Linked DNA regions of Oryzias latipes. The protein of the gene in region 2 binds, or shares a complex with, the protein of the main gene of each other region. Links are inferred from orthologs where the notes say so. Each region holds a gene or a part of one and is shown on either strand. Other genes may lie near its edges. The genes, in order: med16, med24, med21, med25 and ccnc.

Evidence for each region.
Region 1: the proteins of med24 (region 2) and med16 are in contact, whole or in part, in a cryo-EM structure (PDB 7EMF), measured with the Homo sapiens proteins. The link is inferred for Oryzias latipes from reciprocal best matches to the Homo sapiens genes MED24 and MED16. Residues at the interface, in NP_055630.2 of Homo sapiens: Ile539, Leu540, Asn541, His544, Pro545, Glu593, Arg629, Met630, Leu631, Gly632, Leu633, Asp634, Glu635, Asp676, Gln679, Gln680, Thr681, Ala682, Pro702, Pro703, Lys704, Arg705, Pro706, Ile707, Lys708, Glu709, His737, Met738, Gly739, Gly740; in NP_005472.2 of Homo sapiens: His29, Cys30, Pro31, Ser32, Arg52, Asp54, Asp55, Gln56, Glu82, Asp102, Val126, Glu127, Gly128, Asp129, Pro130, Val184, Ser185, Leu187, Thr203, Glu204, Ser205, Cys207, Arg208, Leu209, Arg210, Gly211, Arg212, Asp232, Gly233, Ser234.
Region 3: med24 (region 2) and med21 share a complex: the UniProt entries of both Homo sapiens proteins name them as parts of the mediator complex. The link is inferred for Oryzias latipes from reciprocal best matches to the Homo sapiens genes MED24 and MED21.
Region 4: med24 (region 2) and med25 share a complex: the UniProt entries of both Homo sapiens proteins name them as parts of the mediator complex. The link is inferred for Oryzias latipes from reciprocal best matches to the Homo sapiens genes MED24 and MED25.
Region 5: med24 (region 2) and ccnc share a complex: the UniProt entries of both Homo sapiens proteins name them as parts of the mediator complex. The link is inferred for Oryzias latipes from reciprocal best matches to the Homo sapiens genes MED24 and CCNC.

What each region holds. Positions count from the first base shown.
Region 1 is NC_019862.2:1,605,221-1,609,695, reverse strand, and holds the start of med16 (mediator of RNA polymerase II transcription subunit 16), read right to left. Parts: upstream 2,930-4,475; 5' UTR 2,772-2,929; intron 867-2,771; 5' UTR 829-866; coding exon 690-828; intron 620-689; coding exon 512-619; intron 431-511; coding exon 261-430; intron 189-260; coding exon 1-188. UniProt on the Homo sapiens protein: Component of the Mediator complex, a coactivator involved in the regulated transcription of nearly all RNA polymerase II-dependent genes.
Region 2 is NC_019877.2:9,580,059-9,584,307, reverse strand, and holds the start of med24 (mediator of RNA polymerase II transcription subunit 24), read right to left. Parts: upstream 3,013-4,249; 5' UTR 2,893-3,012; intron 2,887-2,892; exon of another isoform or gene 2,767-2,886; intron 2,629-2,766; 5' UTR 2,628-2,628; coding exon 2,498-2,627; intron 2,413-2,497; coding exon 2,330-2,412; intron 2,203-2,329; coding exon 2,164-2,202; intron 2,081-2,163; coding exon 2,007-2,080; intron 1,688-2,006; coding exon 1,464-1,687; intron 1,322-1,463; coding exon 1,210-1,321; intron 1,115-1,209; coding exon 964-1,114; intron 1-963. UniProt on the Homo sapiens protein: Component of the Mediator complex, a coactivator involved in the regulated transcription of nearly all RNA polymerase II-dependent genes.
Region 3 is NC_019881.2:3,908,753-3,913,241, forward strand, and holds the start of med21 (mediator of RNA polymerase II transcription subunit 21), read right to left. Parts: upstream 2,999-4,489; 5' UTR 2,976-2,998; coding exon 2,934-2,975; intron 1,876-2,933; coding exon 1,761-1,875; intron 1-1,760. Other genes in the region: fgfr1op2 (FGFR1 oncogene partner 2), read left to right, coding at 4,296-4,430. UniProt on the Homo sapiens protein: Component of the Mediator complex, a coactivator involved in the regulated transcription of nearly all RNA polymerase II-dependent genes.
Region 4 is NC_019866.2:3,594,767-3,598,480, forward strand, and holds part of med25 (mediator of RNA polymerase II transcription subunit 25), read right to left. Parts: intron 3,282-3,714; coding exon 3,105-3,281; intron 1-3,104. UniProt on the Homo sapiens protein: Component of the Mediator complex, a coactivator involved in the regulated transcription of nearly all RNA polymerase II-dependent genes.
Region 5 is NC_019882.2:15,128,159-15,132,643, forward strand, and holds the start of ccnc (cyclin-C), read right to left. Parts: upstream 2,814-4,485; 5' UTR 2,688-2,813; coding exon 2,656-2,687; intron 2,324-2,655; coding exon 2,217-2,323; intron 2,076-2,216; coding exon 1,991-2,075; intron 1,525-1,990; coding exon 1,455-1,524; intron 1,318-1,454; coding exon 1,266-1,317; intron 1,169-1,265; coding exon 1,113-1,168; intron 421-1,112; coding exon 385-420; intron 307-384; coding exon 215-306; intron 128-214; coding exon 60-127; intron 1-59. Other genes in the region: glial fibrillary acidic protein, read left to right, coding at 3,786-3,979, 4,059-4,224, 4,411-4,485. UniProt on the Homo sapiens protein: Component of the Mediator complex, a coactivator involved in regulated gene transcription of nearly all RNA polymerase II-dependent genes.

The DNA.
Region 1 (4,475 bases), on a different chromosome or scaffold from region 2:
CGTCCTCGAAGCCGGCACAGACTCTCACTGGCCGTCAGCAAGGAGCCGCCTGGCTTTAGCAATGACACGGAGACCAAACCGCTAACTGTTACTGCTAACCAGCCTTCCATTGGTTTTCCTCCAAACAGGGTGAGAGAAGGAGAGAACTTCACCCGGGAGAACTTTTCTCCAAAGTTTGTGGAACCAGACTGAAAGCAGAAGATGTCGTGTCAATTTTTTACTGGTTCTGGGGCTTTTCTACTATGTAGAAGGTGCCTTACCATCTCCACATGCAGAGCCAGTTTGACTCCATTATGCAACCAGCTAAGGGCAATTATGGGATCTCTATCCAAAGAGCTAGACAGGATGCTCTCCCAGCTGTTTACCAAGTGATCAGTCATGGACCAGCACTTAATCTGACCATCGCCATCGGCAGAGAGCAACCGTGATCCTACACACACAAGAACACAAGCACTTGACAAAACAATAACAGTTTAATACTCTGAAAAAAGTCAACTAAAGTAAAGCCTACCTGACTGGTCCCATTCCAGGCAGGAAATGACCTCAGTGTGACCAGAGTTGATAGAAAAGACATCCCAGGGGTGCTCAGTGTCGATGATGTGGATCATGTGACTGACATCTGAAAAAGAGGTTCAGGTAGCCGGGACCAAGAGTTGGACGTGTGTGCGTGTGCGTGTGTGTCTGTGTACCCTTCTCATTGTCGTCACTTTTCAGGTCTGTGGTAAACGCCACCAGGTTCCTGCAGGACCACGAGCACACTACTGGTATGGATGGACAGTGAGCGTTCTTCTGTCGCTTCTCCCAGTCACAGACATATGCCAGTTCCATGTCCAAAGGGGAACAAAGACGCCTCGTCCACACCTGACCTGAATGGGAGACAGAGGAACACATCTGTCACTAAGTGAACACATCTGTATTTCAAAGCAGGTTAGAGGTTAGATCATTGTTAAGGAACAGAATAATTAACCATGTCAAGCATTATATTTAGTAAGTTTCCATTTAATCCTATTTTGATCTATTGTGAAAACATACCCAGTCAGGGTAGGATTCTTAAAACATCCAAAACACTATTTCCATCACAGTGGGTTTTTTTTTTTTAACCAAGTGAAACCCACTGAGATCAGATCTCATCTTCAAGGGTGACCTGGCCAAGAGGTCAGCAGCATACGCCACATGAATAAAGTCACAATATTAAACAAATATGACACAGAATGATGACTAGAGAATTTTACAATGTAAACTTAAAAGTTGAAAGTGAGGATCAACAAAGTGACTTGGTAATGTTAGATGGGAATTTGTGTCATTTGGAGAGTACAAAAGTAGTGAGTAGCATGACATTAATAGCCATCAGTTATCAGTTCACGTTAGAAACACAGACATTGAAGGACGGACCGTTTATATTTGACTCAATATAATGAAGCTGAAAAATCTAAGTGAAGAAAGTTCAGACCATTTATGAGGTTTTACTAAAATATTTTTAAAACGTTTGCAGATTAAATTTGTGAATCTCCAATCTCCATTCCTTCACTACAGGAACTAAATTCAAAACTAGTTTTGAATTTACATTGAGTTTAATGGTCAATGGAGCCAAAACCTCAACTATGAGAAACAAAATCTGAAAAAAATACAGAAAAGCACATTGTCCAATTTTTAAAGAATTCATTCGTAAATTATGGAGGAAAATAAGTATTTGGTCAATAAAAAAGTTCAAGTCAATACGTTGCTATTTACCCTTTGTTGACAATGACAGCAGTCAGACGTTTTCTGTAAGTCTTCACAAGGTTTTCAAAAACTGTTGCTGGTATTTTGGCCCATTCCTCCATGCAGATCTCCTCTAGAGCAGTGATGTTTTGGGGCTGTCACTGGGCCACACAAACTTTCAACCCCCTCCAAAGATTTTCTATGGGGTTGAGATCTGGAGACTGTCTAGGCCACACTAGGACTTTGAAATGTTTCCTATGAAGCCACTCCTTTGTTACCCGGGCAACGTGTGTTTAGGATCGTTGTCGTGCTGAAAGATCCAACCATGTCTCATCTTTAATGCTGATGGAAGGAGGCTTCCCTCCAAATCTGACCATACACTGCTCCATTCCTTCTTTCCTTTACGCAGATCAATCGTTCTGTCATTGCCATTCATTCATTCATTCATCTTCTAATCTGTTTTATCCCTCTCGGGGTCGCGGGGCTGCTGGAGCCTATCCCAGCCACTCGCGGACGAAGGCTGGGGGCATCCTGGACAGGTCACCAGTCTGTCACAGCTGTTATTTCCAGCAAATGAACTTTTGTCATTGATCATTAAGTTATTTTCTATCATAATTTACAAATAAATTCTTTAGAAGTCAGACAATGTGATTTTCTGTTTTTTTTAACTCATTTTGTCTCATATTAGTTAAGGTTTACCTATGATTAAAATTACAGGCCTCTCTCATTTTTTGAATTGTGAGAACCTAAACAATTGGTGGCTGACTAAATACTTTGTTTGCCCCACTGTAAGTAAACCTTGTATGTATTCGGTCATTTATTTAAATTCTACCATAAACTTGAATTTGCTCACATGACAGCACCACGAAACACATCAGTCTTCTGGATGTTTACCCCAAGTTTTTATGAACAACGATGCAAGTTTGAATTTCCAAAAGAAAAGTGTTGCTCGTCAACAGTTCGGTTTTCTTGACTTTCTTTACAAACAAACCCAGCAGCAAAACTCCAGAAAAAACGTGATGCAAATGAAAAGAAAAACCCGCTGACTTAGTCTATTATGATGAACTCACCTATTTGAAACTGGCTTTCAAAAGTTAACAGCCAAAACTGAAAGAAGTTTTAAGAACGACTTCAGAAAGAAAACATAAATACGAGTTGGAAAGAACGGCACTTTGAAAGAAACAAAGACCGCAGCAGAGACTGGCGCGTGTCAGGCCCCCGTATATGTGTGCCTATACAGCTGCCTGTCTGAAAAATATGTTTAGAGTACGAAATAAGAAAATTAGGCCCAGACAATTTATTACAAAGCTTTCAACTTAAGTAAAAACATTGAAGTAATTAAAAATCCACACTGTGTCTTCTACAACGTTTCTAATAAATACTTTTATGATCCTATTTTAGTCTGGCTAAACCCGAGGTAAACCTTTTTTTCCCTCTGTAACTTTATTAACAAGGAGCAAAATACAAAGTTAAGTTGAATACATTTTCAATTCTCACTCTCAAAAGAAAAAGCAATACTTCAAAATGCTTTTTCATTTTATACTTCAACCCAGCTTTTTCTGTCACTTAATTAAAATGATAAAGAAAATGGTATTTGACATTTCATTTTCAAAAAGGTCCCTGGTAAATGTGTAGCATAATTCATTTAGAAATGTCTAATTTGACAATTAAAATGGATTAACAGAAATGCTTTTTAATTTTCAAAATGTAGCTGCATTTTTTGACTCAAAATTAAAAAGAAAAAGCAATATTTCAAAATGCTTTTTCATTTTATACTTAAAACCGCTTATTCTGTGTCATAATTAAAACGAAAATGCAAAGAGGGGATTGCATTTGCATTTTAACATCCACCCTGCGCACCTTGTCACAATATTCATTTCGAAAAAGCATTAGCAGAGGGGAGGCGGGGCGATGACGTCACTGCTTTCTCTGTGTGTCCGGCTGCTGACTGACGCACACACACGCACCAGGAGCAGACTGTGTTAGTGGCAGAGAAGAGGGTTTTGTGATGGTTGTGAACTTCTGATGAGTTTCCACAGCTTCTCAGGACTAAGTAGCTGCATGTCCGCCTTCTGCGGTCCTCCTCCTGACGCACCGCGATCGCTGAAGGCGGAAATGCTGCGGCGATCTGAGAAACCATCATATGAATTTGTGTTTCCAGTGGTGTCCAGAACAAAATAAAGACTGATTCCCACATATTTACACATTTATTTGCAGCTTTGCGGTGAATTTGCTGTATTTTTTGAATTTGATGTATTTTCTCTCATATATTCCTGTTTTGATGATTTTAATACTCATTTTGTTAGTTATAAGTTCTCTGTTTTTAATAAAGGAATGTAGGGTGTGAGAAATCTGTCAAAAAGAAACATAGTCATAAAAACAAAGTTGCAAAAAAAAGACATGAAGACAACATTTTAATTTTACGTTTGAATGCGATTTGTCTTTGTTATAAATACGACTCTTGTTTGTCTTGAATACCAAATTTACCTTGATAACAAACTGTCAAAAATACGTCACATGGTCACAGGCATACGAGTCCCAAAACGTTGATTCAACTGGGTGAGCATGTACATTCATGTACATTGGAGACTCTTCTTAAACTAATAGAATTACATTTTTTAGACTGCTATGATGAATGAATGAAAGAATGTTATAGGTCTGGCTGGAAATCTGTCTTAAAACCAAAAAAAAAGTCATTAACATCACTGTCCTGCTGAATTTCTTTGTTGTCAGGTGAGAACACCTGGGGGGCGTATTCCAGGAAGCATGTTTAA
Region 2 (4,249 bases):
CACCATAGCTCTATAATTAAGACAAATGTGTTTAAATTGGAGGTTTCTTTAGCCCCACGGTGGCCGTGTGAGATGCAATGATGCAGTCAATTCAAAAGAAATGACTGTAAAAAGATCCAGCTGTTGGTTCTTTCATCTGGAGAAAAGTTGTCAGAAATTTCAGATCCATAGTTTATATTATGTTTTTCCACCCCGCTTTTGACTTTTTTGTTTTTATTATGTCATTAATGTAAAGTTTATTGCAAATCTTTCATGGATATGTGTTGTTGCAAATAAATATTTTTTAACATTTTGTACACAAGTTCCATTACTGTGAAACAACGGTTAAATTAAATTTTCATGTAATCAAATTATTTTAATTTGCAAAGAGAAATTTTCTCAATATGCTACTGTGAGGTAAAATTAGAAGAAAAATGGCTTAAAATACTTTTACCCCAAATATGTTTGTTACATAATTGTTTTGCTCAGCGTACATGATTTAACCATGAACCTTCTTTCTGTTATGTCATAGATAGAGAGATAAAGAGATAGATAGATAGATAGATAGATAGATAGATAGATAGATAGATAGATAGATAGATAGATAGATAGATAGTTAGATAGATAGAGAGATGACACTTTCATTTGCAGGTAAATTATTCATTACAAATAAAAAACTTCAGTATAAAGCAAAGCTAAAAAAGCTAAATATGAATGTAATTTAATGTAATTGCACAGTAAATTAAGAAAAAATGGTTCTCTTCAGGCTCAGAGGGTCTGATTATGTCAACATGAAGGAGCAAAAATGTGTAAATTCTTAATACAGTTTTACAAATTAACATATTTTACATAGTCATAATTGCAATGTTCAAACTACCGGTAATTCACCTGCAAAATATTTGCAAAAAGAATATGACTATTTCTGACTTAGGGCTGAAGATCACAGAAATTATAGAAATATTTTGTCATGAATTTCAAGCTCACCTGCATTCTCTTGATCATCATTAACTGCTCCACCAAAGGCTGGATCTCTCCGATTAAATTCATGGTTGCCTCCAGCATGATGAAGGCATGAACTGATGGGAAGGAGGCACGCACTGGAAGCTCACACTGCACAGAGAGCATGCTGGGAATACTGGGGAGAGTCAAGAGTCATCCCAAGAAAAATTAACTTTTTTTAATGTTTTAAAACACTTTTGAGTAAGAGCTTAGTGGCTGAGGAACCTTCACCTTTTTACTAAAAACAAACTTTCTTCCAGTGAAGTCCTTAATGTTTGGTTTGGTACATTTCCAAGACCTTCCGTAACTTTAATCACTGCTTGCTCCACATTGTTCCAGGACCCTTTGGAAGAGGAATTTCACATCAAACCTTACAAATGGTGAACATGCAAACAAAGACCATAACCTTTGTGTGCACAAATGCCTACATTCTCTTCCATAACATTCATATTTCAATATTGTCTTTCAATATTTTATTCCCAAACCTTGATCTTCTAATCGGGCGATATGAACCAGAGCTCTGTTCTTGGTGCTTTTCATCAGGGTATGAAGCCTCTCCTGACATGTTCTGAGAATAGCCTCTATGCTGGGTACCGGTCCGAGCTCTCTCAGGTTCTCGCAGTACCACGCACAGGCCTGCAGCAGCCAGACCACCACCCCAAGCAAAGCCCGACACAACCCAATGCATTCCTCTGCTTTGCCATGGCAGCTGAGTGAGAAGACAACAATGTACAGTATTAACAATTAAAGCTATAGTACAAATATAAGATAAAATACAATATGCAAGTGAAGTATTGGGGAAATAACAATAAGACAAGGCTTGGCACACAAGTAAATCAGTTAAGATTTAATTAAAAAAAAAACATATCAATAAAAATTGTTGAAAATTCCAAGTTAAAGTGAGGCAGATTGAAGATTTAAAACCCTGACAAATTTGCTGTCCAAAAAATAAATAAATAAAATAACAAAAATGTACAAGAGAAAGTCACAAGGAGAGAATAGTGGTGTTTACTCAGAAGTATTCAGACCTTAGGCGACAGCAGAACATGTCTATTATGTCCAGCAATGACTTCACACAGAGGTCCCGCGAGAAATCGTCAAACTATAAACAAAACACATTGGTTACAAATGCAGCAGAGATCCATTTAAATGCGAATCTTCTGTCCTTTTTATGATCAAACACACCTTGCTGATGGCTGTGAGCACACTAGCATAGGACACCATCTAGAAAAGTGAAACATTAACAGTCATTATTTAAAAATATATATATATACACACATTTATGTATATACACATTTATGTGTATATATATGTGTGTGTTCAGTTTTCAAAATAAAAGTTCCTTTCCAACCTGTGAACTTATAGCATATTTAAGGTAGGATAAGATGAGTGGGTTAGGGGATGGACCAATCATTGCCTGCTCCATCAAAGCTTCTGGAAAACACAAAGAAAATAATGAAAATTAAATGCATACATGTTATAGGATGAAACGCCGACGTTGTTTATCACAATCAACAACCTGCGAGGTTAAGGTAGTCCCATGTTGCTCCCTTTGGAAAGTTTTTCTTGATGTTGACAGCCCATTGGTAGTCTGTCCACCTTTCTTTCCACGCCTGCAGGATAGCCTGCTTCAAATTAACCACCTTCATGCTGGAAAGGAGCGAACACACGTATCTGTTAGAGAATAGCTAACTCACTTATGTCAAAAAAATAGCAAAATTGCCACACGTTTTAACATATAAACACTGGGTCAAGTCAATGCAGCTGTTAGATTCGCTGTTAGCATACCTTCTCAATATTAGCTAACAGAAAAAAACTAAACGTCTCTTGTTTCGCGAACAAACTCAGAATCGTCCCCGGAAAAGGCCAGAACATACCTCTCAAAGTTTCATTATTGACTTAATTCATATCTACCTGCTCTCGTTTTGTTAAAGCGCAAGATGTGGTTGTTTTTTAGTTTCACAGCTCCACAATGCAGGATACCCCCATTGCTGTTGTGAAAAACACCGCCGCTCATTGGCTACTCCCGACACTCCACCAGTATTCTTTTCGATGATTGGATAATGATGTTTTTCGCTTTTAAGCCTCAACCTTCGACTGCAGAATCTGTCTACTACCACAAGATGTCGCTGTTAACCACAGAACTTATGAAGTAGATCCGAAATTGAATGGGACTCTAAAATGTAGTTTGCAGTAAAAAAAAAAAAGCTTATTTCAGCTTTTTTCTTTCTTTTTTAAAAAGTTGGAAAATCACTACCCAATAGCAAGAATAATGAAAAATATATTTTCAAAATGAACACAATGATTAAATTAGAATAATAAGGAATCAGGAATCTTTATTGTCATTTTAAATTAGCGTCTCTGGTCCCGGGCCAGTCGTTTACAGTGAGAAGACAGGAATAAGTAAATAACAATATGATGTAGTAATAATTTACATTTATGGAACCCACAGTGCACTTTTAATTTAAAAATCTAAAATAAAAAAAAGCTTCTGAGCTTTTGTTCTTTGTTCGATTTTTGTTTTTTTTTGTGTGCACAAAAATTTGTTTTGCAAAAATAAAATGAACCCTTTCTCTGCATCAATCTCCATCAGACCAATCTTGTATTAGTCAGGGCCAACAAAGAGCTTCTTTCTGCTTGTTACTGGAGATGATGTACTGACTAGAGTGAGGTCTGTGTCCTGGGACAAGAGTTATGTAAGACCGAAAGAGATGATCAGTGCATATTAGGTGGACAAGTGTTAGAGGACTGATGAAGTTGCGTGTTTGTGTGGAGGTGTGTCTGGAGAGAATGATCTTTTCTCCTTTACCTTACACTGAGGGCTCTGTTGAGGAGGCGTGGTGACAGCTCTCCATCTGCCACAGGGGTGATCAGAGGGACTGTGGCTGCAGCTCTGTGTCTTTTCTCACGGCTTCATTTCAGAGATTAGGACATGTGCTGATTCTGGCTTTTCTCACTTCCAACCTTTATTATGTTACTTGTTATTGTTATTCAAAAGTGATCCCCCATCTTACAATATTATTGTATCATCATTGTGGTTCATTACATAACGTCTGTTTCACTTTCAAGTTACTTTCTCAGTTAAAGCTGCAGAACTACAACATAATAAACATTTATAATACAAAGTATTTCACATTTACTATAAATAATGTTATTAATATTAACAGTATTGTTTATTTTTGAACAAGTGAAAGCACACAAAAGACGACTATATTAAAATTCTTAGCTTTAGTCAATTTATTCCAACAAACTTCAAATAGAAGTAAAAAAG
Region 3 (4,489 bases), on a different chromosome or scaffold from region 2:
TTGTCAACAGAGGAGCTCTTTTGGCAGTATTAAATTTATTTTCACAAAGGAGCCAGCACAATTACAATCTTATCATTTTAAGAAGGCACTGTGTGTGTAATAAGAGAGAGGAGAGAGCGCGTAGAGCGCCGGAGGGAGTGTGTGTGTGTGGGGGGGGGGATGGGGGGGGGGGGGGCAGCGGAAGTGTGTCGGGTGCGTGCATTCATGTTGTGTGTTACAGAGGAAGGAGAACGATAATAAAAGAAGGCTTCCCCCAGAATAAATGCTATAATTGACTCTTTATTAACCCGCTCTGGAGAATCTGAGGGTCCGAACGGGGAAGTTAATTCCGGAGGAGGATCTTCCTTCAGCCCTGGAGAAGATCCCCCCCCCCTGCTTCCGACCACAGTCGGAAAGAAAAAAAAGTCAGGTGGGAAAGGTTCAACACCACGCTCGGCCATTTTGCTGGAAATATTTTCAAAAACTGCCCGGTTGCGATAAGAGCCCTGGAGTTTGGCCTGAATGGAGCTGTCACCCCAAATATGAATCCAATCGGTGACCTCGCTTCCCTTCCACTGACTGGTCTCAGCAGCATCGTCCGCCATGGTTGATGTTTATCTTCTGGTTCCGCCTACTTCAACGCAGAATTATGACGTTTGAGAACGTATCAATGAGGTACGGGTCGGATTCATGTGGCCTGGCCGTTCAGACGGAGGTCGCATTTGAAAAGATCGGATACGTATTGGATTCAGGACCACATACCCAAGTGGCCTGGTTCACATTTGAAAAGATGGGATCTGTGTCGTTCAGACTGTCATGAAAAGATCAGATACAGGTCGCATGGGGGAAGAAAATCAGAATTGGGTCGTTTCAGCCTGCAGTATGAACGAAGCCAAAGTTACCTTTTCAGCTAATGCAAAACTGATAAAAACAGCCACTAACTACATGCTTTTTCTGCTAACATAAACATATGCCTATTTAGTTTCACTTAAATAAAAGAAGTATGACAAAAATAAATGAATCTTTATGAAATTTCACCGTTTATTCCTGTCCCTCAGTTTTGTTCAACCCGTAACAGCCTATCAATCCCCCTTTAAAAAAAAATAATAGTTCAGTCCAACTTCTTCAGCAGCCAGGAAGTGACATCACTGAATATTTTCCTGCTCATACTCTGAAGACAGGTAAGTATTAGCCTCCTTTCTTACCCATATTTCATAGTTTCTGTTGTCAGATTGACTTTGTCAAGCTCAACCTTTCAACTCTGTTAAATTAATAAATGATATTTACTATTGTTTGGGAAAAAGCTAACGATTGCTTTGAAATATGTATTAAATTCTTGTTTTCCTCATGCCATATGTAGCTTCATATCCTAGCTAATGTAGACACGTGACAACTTCAACCTCGTAATATTCTACTCCGTAACAAAACACACTGTCACAGTGACAAACTTTCTAACAATTTGGGGGATTTCATGTCTAAAGTGGGAAAACATCTTTTCTCAGAGGTTTAAATAGTCCTTAATCTGATGTAATGTTAAGAAACACACATTTTTTAGGTAAGATTTTCAATTACCAATGTGCACCGAATTCAGAGAATGACCCGTCTAGCCCCTGATATCAATCATGTCCCAATATCCAACGGCATCGAAGGCCCACCCCAACGTAAAATGAGGCTGTACTCCGAAAGTGAAAATTCAGAATTGAAACTGTAAACCGAGGACTGAAGGTGAAGAGCAGGCGGCGACCCAGTGGGTCTTTAGAGACAGTCGGCGTCAGACTAACCTTCAGTGGGGTTGGCCGGCTGGTCCTTGTTGATAGCGGTCTGGATGTTGCTGAAGGACGCAGGGGGAGCAAATTGTTGCAAAACACCGATGGCGTTACAAAACTGATCTGCAAGCTGCCCACGCAAAAGCAGAACACACAGTTCAGACCGAGCTGAAGCCGACCTGCACCACACATCCCGAATAGATTCATTTTATGTTTGAAACACAGACAGAAAGGTCAAAACAATCAAGCTTGGATTATAACAAAGCACAGCAGGAAATTCTACTCATTGGAAATGAATGGATATTATATTAAACATTTCATTTTAAAAACATTTTTGGTATAATTGTCTTCCATTATTCTTTATCTGGCTGTATGCAAATATTTCAAGCATTTTCAGCAAGATTTTGGTTTTATTTAAGACGGTTAAAATCTTTCATAGAGAAAAGAGAATTATGAAGTAGTACACTTCTTGTAAGTTAGAATATTTTTAGGTTTTTGCTCCTTCTTCATGTAATCATATGTATTATGCCCTTCAGGCATTTATTTCGAAATGTCATGAAGATTAAGTGTAGGGGTTGGAGTGCCTGAAGTTCAATATTGTCATATGTTATATACATATGTATATCTTTAGTCCATATGCTAGTAAGAAATGTCATCCGGCTGACCTAAACAATAACAGAACGGTTGGCCTGTACCACCACACATCATGATTCCTATAATATTCCAGCTAAATGAGCAAACAAGCTGCTTAGTGCTTTCAGGAGTTTCCTGATAGAGCTACACTAAAGGATGGCTAGCATGCTAAGAACAAATGGGACTCTAACTTTGTTTGACAGCATATTTTGACCGGCAGGATTAGGATAAGTCTCAAAACGAACAATTTATAGGGTAACTTCCTGGTTTGGGTACCTTTTTAAATAATTTCCACTTCCTTTCATGCGTCTTCAACTTTAATTCCAATCTACTTCAGCATTTTGGCAAACAGCTTCAGCAAACACCAAGTAAGTAATGCTATTTATTAAGTTAGCATTAGCATTGTTAGCTGCTGTGATGTTACGCCCTCAGTAAATAAATTAGGAAACAACTTCCATTAAAACCTATATATAATGCACATTTCATATTTAAATGTATATGTGACAGTCTTTCTATATCACAATTTTTGTCAAATATTTAACATTTTTATTTTACCGAGTTGACAGCATCTTGTAGTTGCGTTAGCCGGTCCGCCATATTTACCTGTATTTGACAAAAGTCCGTCGTCAACTATCGCGAGAGCATTGACAAAATCTCGCAGAAATTGACGTCATTTCGGAAGACAAGATAGCTAAAGAAAGTTAGCCCGTCAACAACCTTAAACCTGTTATTTTAGACTTGAATACCATAGAGACTTTTGCGAAATTCATTTTTTGTACTTTAGTATATTTTTTTATGTCTTAAAGAAACAAAGTTTAAGTTTAACGTATAATCCGATATTCGTGTTAGCATAAGCATGATGTTGCTATTCTGAGCTACAACATAAAATATCAGGAAGAAGATCTATTTTCTGGTTGCACTTTGAACTCTTCAGGTAAGACCACTTCAGTGTTAAATTAAGACACCTTTACATGCTTTGGTACACTGTTTATGAGGTACGTTTGTATGTTTTGTTGGAAAATTTGTCAGGATTTAGAGAGCAGCTTCGTTAGTTGTAACTACTTTACTACTACGTAAGCAAAGACATAATTAGCTGTTTGTTTCTGCTTGCTTAATTTTTTTGTCATAAGAAAGTATATTTCATGATCATAAATCTCCTGCAGTTCGACATCCTCTTTTTTCCCCTTTTAAACTGTGACACATTCGTTAACATCCTGCTTTAGTGGGTGAGCAGGAGGGTCATACCCGGTAAAGTTACATTGTTTGGTGGTGGCAGTGTGATGGTATGGGGCAGCATCTCCTGCTCGTTATTACTGGAGGAAATCTTGATGTAGAAGTTATACATCGAATTCTGCTAAAATAAATATTTAGTGTGTTTTTAAACCTGAATTACCCAAACACGACATTGGCAAAATTAGATGCTTAGCAGCGAATGTTCAACCAGTCATGATGGGTGCATTTCATAAACGGAGCTACGTATTCCCTTAAACTCTAAACAAAGATTTAAGATAAGTATTGTAACTAAAAAGTAATCTGCTTAAAACCAATTTCCCTGCTTTTTGTACTGTTTACATCACTTTCTATCATTTAACTTTCCATCTTAAATCTGTAAGACGCTGAGTATCTTAACGCTAATGTGTAAGTAAATGAAAAATGCAGGGATCTACTACTCTTTACTTCCAGATGTTCATTACTCACCACAGTAATTAGGTTTTTATCTCACTAAAACTGAACAAACAGAAAGCAAAAGAGTAAAACAGTTTTATGAAGGAAATTGCCCAATTTGTTATATTACTTACAGACTTGAACTCGATGTTTTTTTTCTTCTTAAGTTTTCACATTTCTTTAAAACCAGATTGATATTTTCTAAAAAATGTCCTGCTCATCGATTTTACTTTAATGTTTTCCCCTTTAGACATGAACTGTACGTTAGAGAAAGTCCTGGCAGATGCTAAGTCCTTGGTAGAAAGGCTCCGTAACCATGACAACGTAGCCGAGATGTTAATCGAACAGACAACATCTCTCAACAAGAGGGTAGAAGCCATGAAACAGGTAAGATTCTGCTTGGATTTTGATGTTTTATTTTATTTTATTTTAAATATTTTCCTCAT
Region 4 (3,714 bases), on a different chromosome or scaffold from region 2:
TACTCAACAACAGAAAACTAACTTTATGTACAGTAAATTATGATGCCATTCAATAAGTAGAAAATCGAATCATCCAATCACGCTCTGCCAGTAAACTGTCAGACTAAAACACAAACATTTAGGTCATTTTCATCCTTTTCCCTGTTGGATGCTCGTCATTCCCGATTTCAGATGACAGCAGAAAAACAACAGAAAGACTGAACAATCAATCACTGATCATTTGTGACCAAAACACAAAGCTGCTTCATCATTGGAGAGGAGGAACGTTTGGAGCTCCAGCCTCCAAAACCAGCTGCTGAGACTGAGATTCATGTTTGATGACTTCAAAGAAAAACCTTTGAGAAAAACACAACCGGATTAACGGAATTTAGAAAAAAACAACGTTGTCTTTCTTTAGGTCTTTACTTTTACTAAATTAAGACCAATGTGAGAATAACTTCTTCAAAGTTGGATCATCTTTTTACTTTATTTTCTTAATTTGAAAATCGGAATCATTCACAAAAGTTAAAATCAAAAGAATTTTCCTAAACTTAAAAGTGAAATGATGAAAAAGGAGAAACTGGATTTCAAATTTATTTACAGAAAATCTTGACTTTTTAAACTTCACTAGAGAAAAACAAATCTTATGTTTTATTTCTTAATGTTAATAATCAATTATTTTTTTGTTTTTAATTGTGTTCTCTGTGCAGGTTATTACAAGGTTATGTGTGAGACAGAATTCAACACATACATTCCTGGCATGGAGCTCAAATTCATGTGGGCAGGACAGTTGGCACAGAGCAACCCCGCCCCCCTTCCCCTCCTTGATGCTGAGGGTTCAGAGCAGGGAGCTAGTGGCCCGCCCAGCGTATTTTCTACGATCTCTTTCAATGCCATTTTTTTGCTCATTATTAATAACAATTTGTATAAAGAGATACTCAGCTAAATTCTCTTTATACATGTCCTCCATCATCAGAAAAACGCCAAAAACAGGATTTGGAGTACTGTATCTCATATCTCATCCTTACTCAACATTATAAACACAAACAGATTTTTAGTTTGAAAATGTTTATTTAAAAAAAAAAACACCCTTTCTTTTGCAGGAATAAATAGACTTTGTAGATCATGTATATTTAGAATTTGCATATTTGCTCTGTGTAATTGGCATTTACTGAGTCAAGAATGCTGAAGGTGCGTGAGGCTCCATTCTGCATTTCTTTGTTAGGGCAGCAAAAGCAAACACAAAGGGAAGAAGAGATTTCACTTGAAGCACCACCTGCAGAGGTGTTTGCCACCCCGGATTTCACGGTTAAAATGAAGTAAATCTGGGGGGGATATACACCGTCCACATGCGGCTGAACATGAATCACTGCAGCAGCATAAACGGAGGAGAAAACCTGTTGTTGTTCAGCAGGCTGCAGAAAGGGAAGCGGCCATTATTTGGGGAAAAAAAAAAAAGAGTTTATCTGCAAAGTCCCGTCTAGAAGCTGCTCCTGAGCTCCCTCTCCTCTGCAGTTGCTGTTGTGAACTGTGCGCCTCCCCACTGAGGAGGAGACAACAGGGGAAGGAGGGGGCTTCTCACACCACAGAGAAACTAATAGGACTCTGGGAAAAAGCAGTGTGATGAAACATCCCTTTTAGCCATCCGTCTCGCTGAATCACCCTGGGATTTTTGCAGATACATGGCATGTTCTCTGACTGACGGCAGCAGAGCGTTTAAGGCCTTTAGAGGAAGCCACAGAGCAGCAGCTTGTTTCTCTGTTCATGATTCAGCTGCTGTAACTCATACGATCCAGCATCGCTTTGGAGAAAAGAACATGCAGTTCCTAAATGTTGTTCAAGGAACTTTCCTGACAGAAACCTCAACAACTGGCCCCAACTCTAAATTTGAATCATATTAAGGTTGCTTTCTCGTTAGCAATGCGAAACAGACCGTGTGATGAAACACAAACCAGACTGCTTTACAACGACATAAAGCAGGATCAGCAAACAACGACTTATGATAGCAGAGGACGAGAAAGAACCTGATGCAACTCTTAAACCTGAGGAGAGCATCTTTCCTGTGGAGGGAAATGTGCAGCTTGTGTGGATGCTGCATTGTTTCCCAGTCATGCAGCTCCTCTCATCCGTGATGCAGTGGAGTGTTAATCCTGAGGAGACTCTCACAATCACCTCCTCTCTGGGGTTTCCGGTTTGCAGAGACTTCACTGAAATTTTTCCGTAATCGGTTGCGGCAGCGGAGCTTCTACTTCAGGGGGGTTGAACATGAAACATTCGTGTATTTATTATTTTTTTTTATAATTCCCTTATCAGGATTTGAAGATAGAAAACTTTCAACGGAAACATAACATTTTCTTTCCTTCATTACCTGAAAATTGAAGGATTTTTTTTGCTAAAATGACCGTCTATGGTTTACCCAGACGGGGATTTTAAACAATTTTTTGACTAATTCTGATACCCCCCCATTTTTAACTCTATATATAAAGAAATATAGTGGTCCCATATTTATTGCAGGGTTACATTCTAAAAATAACCTGCAATAACTGACATCTACAAAGAAAGATTACTAATTGTTGTAAAACTCCTCACTTCACACTTTAGGGACTTTTCTCAGACAAAAACCTTGTTTGAAATCTTAAAATTCAAATCTTCATAGAAAATGCGTCCAGTATTATTAAAAGGAAAACAAAGATTGATTGACAAGGTCAAAAGCCAATCAGGATGCAGAACCCAGTGCACTGTTTTGAAGAAAAAAGTGTAAATTGCAAATAAAAAAATTAGCCAAAAGGGAACCTCAATATATTGATGGGCCACTGTATTTTGAAATGTTGGCATTAAGGTTAATCACAATATAAAATATACAAGTATCATTGCACAATGTGGCTGAATGAATGTGCTTTTATTTTGACATGTTCATCCGTTCTCCTTCACACCAACTTTGATTTGAAAAAGTCTGCAGCAGCTGCCGTGCTGGAAAAATGAAATGTCAGTAACAATGCAGCGGACTGCTAAGAAGCTGCTCAGCTCCCTGGAGCTCCTCTCTAAATCCTCCTCATTATCACATCTTTTAGCTCCACCCACCCCCAAAATCCTTTCCCAGCCTCCCGCCCTCTCTGGCCACTCACCGCTCTGTGCTGCTGGACCTGCTTGTGGTTGGTGATGACCTGCCGGATGCCGTTGACGAAGCCGCTCTGGTCGTTGGGGATGAGGCCCATGAAAATTTTCTTCTTGGAGGAGTAGAGCAGCATCAGCACGCGGACTTCACAGGGGGAGGTGGTGTGGGGGAAGTGGACGCAGCCCGCCTGCAGAGGGCCACAGGGCAGATTAAGGCCCTGACATGGGAGCCGGCTTTAATTATGCGACAGGGCCCGGGCTTCGGGACATAACCTACTTCTGAGCTCCTCTGTCCAATCAAAAAATGTTGCAGGAATGCAAACAGTAGAAACTGAATTCAAGCTGCGCTTTAGAGCTCACCTACAGGAAATCCTCAGGTTTTTCCTGTTTCTTTAGAGGTTTTGGTGCACTAAAAAACCGACCAAAGGAAAAGGTCGAAGCTAAAAACAAAACAGATCTCACAAAAACCTTTGAGTTTTAATGAGATCAACACGACAAGGTTTTGTGTTCAGTCCACCTTGTGGACAGAAACAGGATTAACACTCCTAGAAAAGGATCCTTAACAGCCTCACTTCTTTAAATCATAAAAAAGGAAAAGAAACGCTCTCAATTAAATGCATT
Region 5 (4,485 bases), on a different chromosome or scaffold from region 2:
ATCTTTTTGAAATGTGAGTTAAACTGCTCTACTTTCAAAACCTAAGAGGCATTTCTTACCTAAAGCTATCATGAAGGGAGGGTAGAGCAGACACAGATCTGTCCTGTACGTGTCGTTCACTATTCGCCTGGTAAAGGCAGAAAACAATGCAAAGCCTTCCAGCGGAAAAATAAGCTAACATCAATGGGTTTTGTTCAAACGAGGCAGAACGTACCATGCTAAGGGCAGCAGCATGTCCTCCTGCCCCATGTCCTGCACATACTGCAGCAGAGGTCTGTAGGGGTGGTACACAATCAGGCAGCAGTCCTGAAAAATTAAGCCAATCAAGGATCAATTCTTCTCTCTATGAAACAACTCATCCTTTTTATCTAGATTTCCACCCACCATTAGCTCCAAAAGGTAAAACTCACATTCTAGAATCTGGGGGGAAAAAAAAGAGGTTTAGAATTATTTCAAAAAGACATTTAATCATGTTTTCACTTTGAAAATGCCCCCCAAAATTTGTGAATTCATTTTTATTTATTAAGTCTCGTCATCAGACTGGCCTTTGACCTCCTGCTGTACAGATGATGACTTTGTTTGCTTTTAACAGCTTCGCACTTCATCATTGTCACACTTTTACTAAGTGTCCAATGTCCACAAGATGAATGATGTTTACGAGTCACGGCCCTCTGCTACCTCAATCTCTGCCGTCTGAACCCCCCCCCCTCCGTAATTTATAGCTTATATAGCATTACGTCAGAGCCGTCTTGTTCTGGAAACTCTGGAGATCTGCGAGGCAAAAGCATTGAGCAGCAAGCCCCCTGACTGACTTTTTTTTTGTCAGCAGAGTGTGAACATTAGCTGAGGAATCTAACGCACTGATAGGCAGTAATGTGGCAACACTGTGATACAGTCTGAAGGCTTCTCGGTAAGCTGCAATGCAGCACATAAATAACTTTGCAGAGGAAGCAGTTTGATGTGACCTCACCTTCTTGAAACTTAAACCAGTAAACCTTGATGGCATTTACTGTTTACCGTCACATTTCTGCATCGTCAGATTTGTTCATGATTCTTAACTTTTTCATAAAATCACAGACGTAATCGGATTACTTCCACTGTGTTTTACTCACATGATTCATTCTGTAAGGAAACTCCTTTGGAAAGGCATAAGAAAATCTTGTTTTTACTACAAAAAAACAGAAGAAAAAAAATTTGTGTTGCTGGAAACTCCAAATGAAAACAGGGAAAACTTAAATTTGAGATCCACAATGTGGGTCACTTACATACAGAGGTGGCGGCTGAGATCAATCTGGTGTTGGACACGACTCCAAATTCCTACAGGAAAATAAGCAATACAAAACAGATTATCGTGTGTACTAAAGAAGCAGTTAAAGACCCTAAAATGTGTCTCACTTATGATTAAAAATGAAATGTAACATGAAATGTTAAAGATGATTCCACCAAATTTATACCTCAACTTTAGAGGCCAGGAACACACAAGTGGGAGCCATGAGCACCGGATCTATACTCTTCAGAGAATACCTGCAAAATGACACAAGGTATTTAAATATTAAACAAACAGATCATGGAAAGAAATGCTGACGACGTCAAAAAGTAAGAGTAGCCAAAGATAATCATGGCTACATGGGTAGTAAGCACAGTATAGTTAAGGGAAAGAATTTAAAACAAAAGAGGAAAGTTTTTTTTTTGTTTTTTTTGCCTTCCTAACTGTTATGCTAATGTCAGCAAAAGTAAACATTCCTTTGTTTACTCATTGATACATCATGTCGACAGCCTTTTGTTACAGGGTTCAATAAACCAGACCAACTTATCCGCTCCCGGACACAAAAGCTGTTGATGCTCTGCAGAAATGAAACTGTCATCAACACTGATGTAATCTCATTAGGGCTGCCCAATATGTTCACACTTTACCCTCCATGAGCTGTCAGCACAAACGTGTAAAATACCAACAGCTTAACTTATGGAAAAAGCGTTTCGAGCTCCTTACCGGGCGTAGAAGCGCTTAAAGTACACAGTCGCAGTAGCAATGACCTGCTGGCGCAGCTTCAGATGTTCGCCCAGAGCTTGGATAACTGAAAAATACCAAATGAAAAACATTAGTTGAAGTGTGTGATTTAGGTTTTGTTCGTGACTATTCAAGATTTTCTCATGTTTTCAAACAGACCCGGAAACAGACCCAAAACCTGCATGAATGTATTAGAAAAAAAACTCACCATTTGCAAAGAAAATCTGAAGCTTCCAGTACTCCTCCTCCGAGAGAAACTTCAGGTCTTTCTGGCGCTCCTTTATGAGGTCCTGTTTGTCCAAGACCCACTGCAGACTTTAAAAGATAAGCAAGATTACTTTATATGATAAATTTATACAGACGTTTGAACGGGTCAAATTCACTTGACTAACAGTAACAAGCTCCTGACGTGACGGCAACAAAACACAACGAAAACAAGAACCATTGCTGGAGCTCAAAGGAAAGAAAGTCCACATTTTTAGTTACAGTGTGTTCCCCAAGTGTTATTTTTACACCACAATGCTATAAGTAAACTGTTAGCTTCAACGCAGAACAAAAATAGCAGCTAGCTAGGCCTCACAAGCGAAGCGGCTGATGATTACGACAAAAACACACACAACGTCGATATTATTTTAACAAAAACTCACTAATGAGAACTCTGCCAAAAGTTACCCGCCATCACTGCAGTTGAGGTAGAAATTTACAGAAAGGAAAATTGTGTTTTTTTTAACCAACAAAAGAGCGGAGACAGCGAGAAAAGTAATTAAAGTGGCAGAGCTGGTGTATCACGAATAACGTTCCGACGAGCCCAAAGATTGGTTCCGCAGTCTCCTGTAAATGTCGGGAAACACGATTACTTCAAAGAGGGTATACTCACATGTTTTGCATGATTAAAACATTTATAAAACTAATTGTTTAAGATGCCATTTACCATGTTTAGACGTTTAAAGTAGATGTGATGAGGCTAGTATATGAGGTTTTCAAGCAACAGAAGGGAAAAAGGAAATAAAGAAAGTGGTCAAATAAACATAGCATCCTTTATTTCAAAGGGTTCATTGATTATCTCCTAAACTCAATTGAATATTAAAGCATTTGGGTAACTAGAGCTTTTATACCATATTTGTTTGTGGTTAAGTCAACTACAAGTTGTTTTTTTTTTTAATTATTTTATTTTGGCTATAGTTATTCTACATTGTGTAAAGGGTTATACCTAATATAGTCTATTAATATTAAAAAAACAAAAAGCAGCAATTAAGGACTTTTGACTTTTAGCGATTTAGCGATCAGCGATTGCAGACATCTTTTCTTTGGTCTAAACAAATTACGTAGCCCTATAGAAAAACAGGAAATTGTATTCTATTGTATTTATTTAATTTCAATTAGCCTTTCGTGAAGTCAGTGGTGTTCTGTTTTTTCAAATGTTTTACTTGTTTTTATTGTAATTAAGACAACTAAAAATCAGTTTGTATTGTTCATTTTGCTTGTACTTAACATTTGAAAGTAATGTTTAATTCAGCTTTTACTTCAAAATTAATTAAGTCCTTCATCATTCGAAGCACAATGTTCTTTCAACAGCCTATAGGCCAAATTATTTGGCTTGTTGTTGATAGATGCCTGTGCAGGCATTCATACTTGGTATGGAAGGGTTCAGCATTTCACTGTAGTGTTAGGGGAAGGGCCAAGAAGTGTATAAAGACCCCACCTCCTCAGACTGACAGAAGAAGCAAAGGCTCCATTTCCAGTTTCCAACTACAGTTGCATCAACTTAAAAGCCACCATGAGCCGAAGCCCGGAGAGGATGTCTTCATACCGCCGTTGTTTTGAGGACAACATTGCCTCAACATCCCACCTCCGGGTTTCCAGTCCTTCTCCCACCAGGAGAGAGAACCGCCACCGCTCAGCCAGCTTCAACCGAAGTGGCGGGTGGAAGTTGGGGGGGCATAGAGCACTCACCAAGCAAAAACTGACAAGGTAGGTCATCACCTCAGCCAGCTACACAAAAAGCCCACAACACAAAGCCACTTACACCATTATTTTTGGGCTCCTGCAGCAGTTCAAGTATGGGGGTCCTTTGTGTAGGTTCATCCCTGGAACCGGGGAATAAGATGGATCTGGATGTGGCTGCAGCACAAAACCAGGCCTTCAAGTTGACACGCACCAATGAGAAGCAGGAGATGGTTGTTCTCAATGATCGTCTGACAGTTTATATTGAAAAGGCAAGATACAAAGATTTACAAGTCGAATATGCAGCTTTTGCTTGGCTGTCACGTTCACACTATGACAAACCTTAAAACCTTTTCTGTGTTTGGTGCTTACCTCTTGGGAATTTTGCTTATTTAAGAAAAGTATTAAAGCCCGGTGGCAACTGGGTAGGTCTTTCACTTTTGTGTTTATTTGCACAGGTTCGATCATTGGAATCCAAAAACAACCTTTTGGAGGCTGAGATTGAGGCCTTAAAGAGCTCCTATGAAAGAACA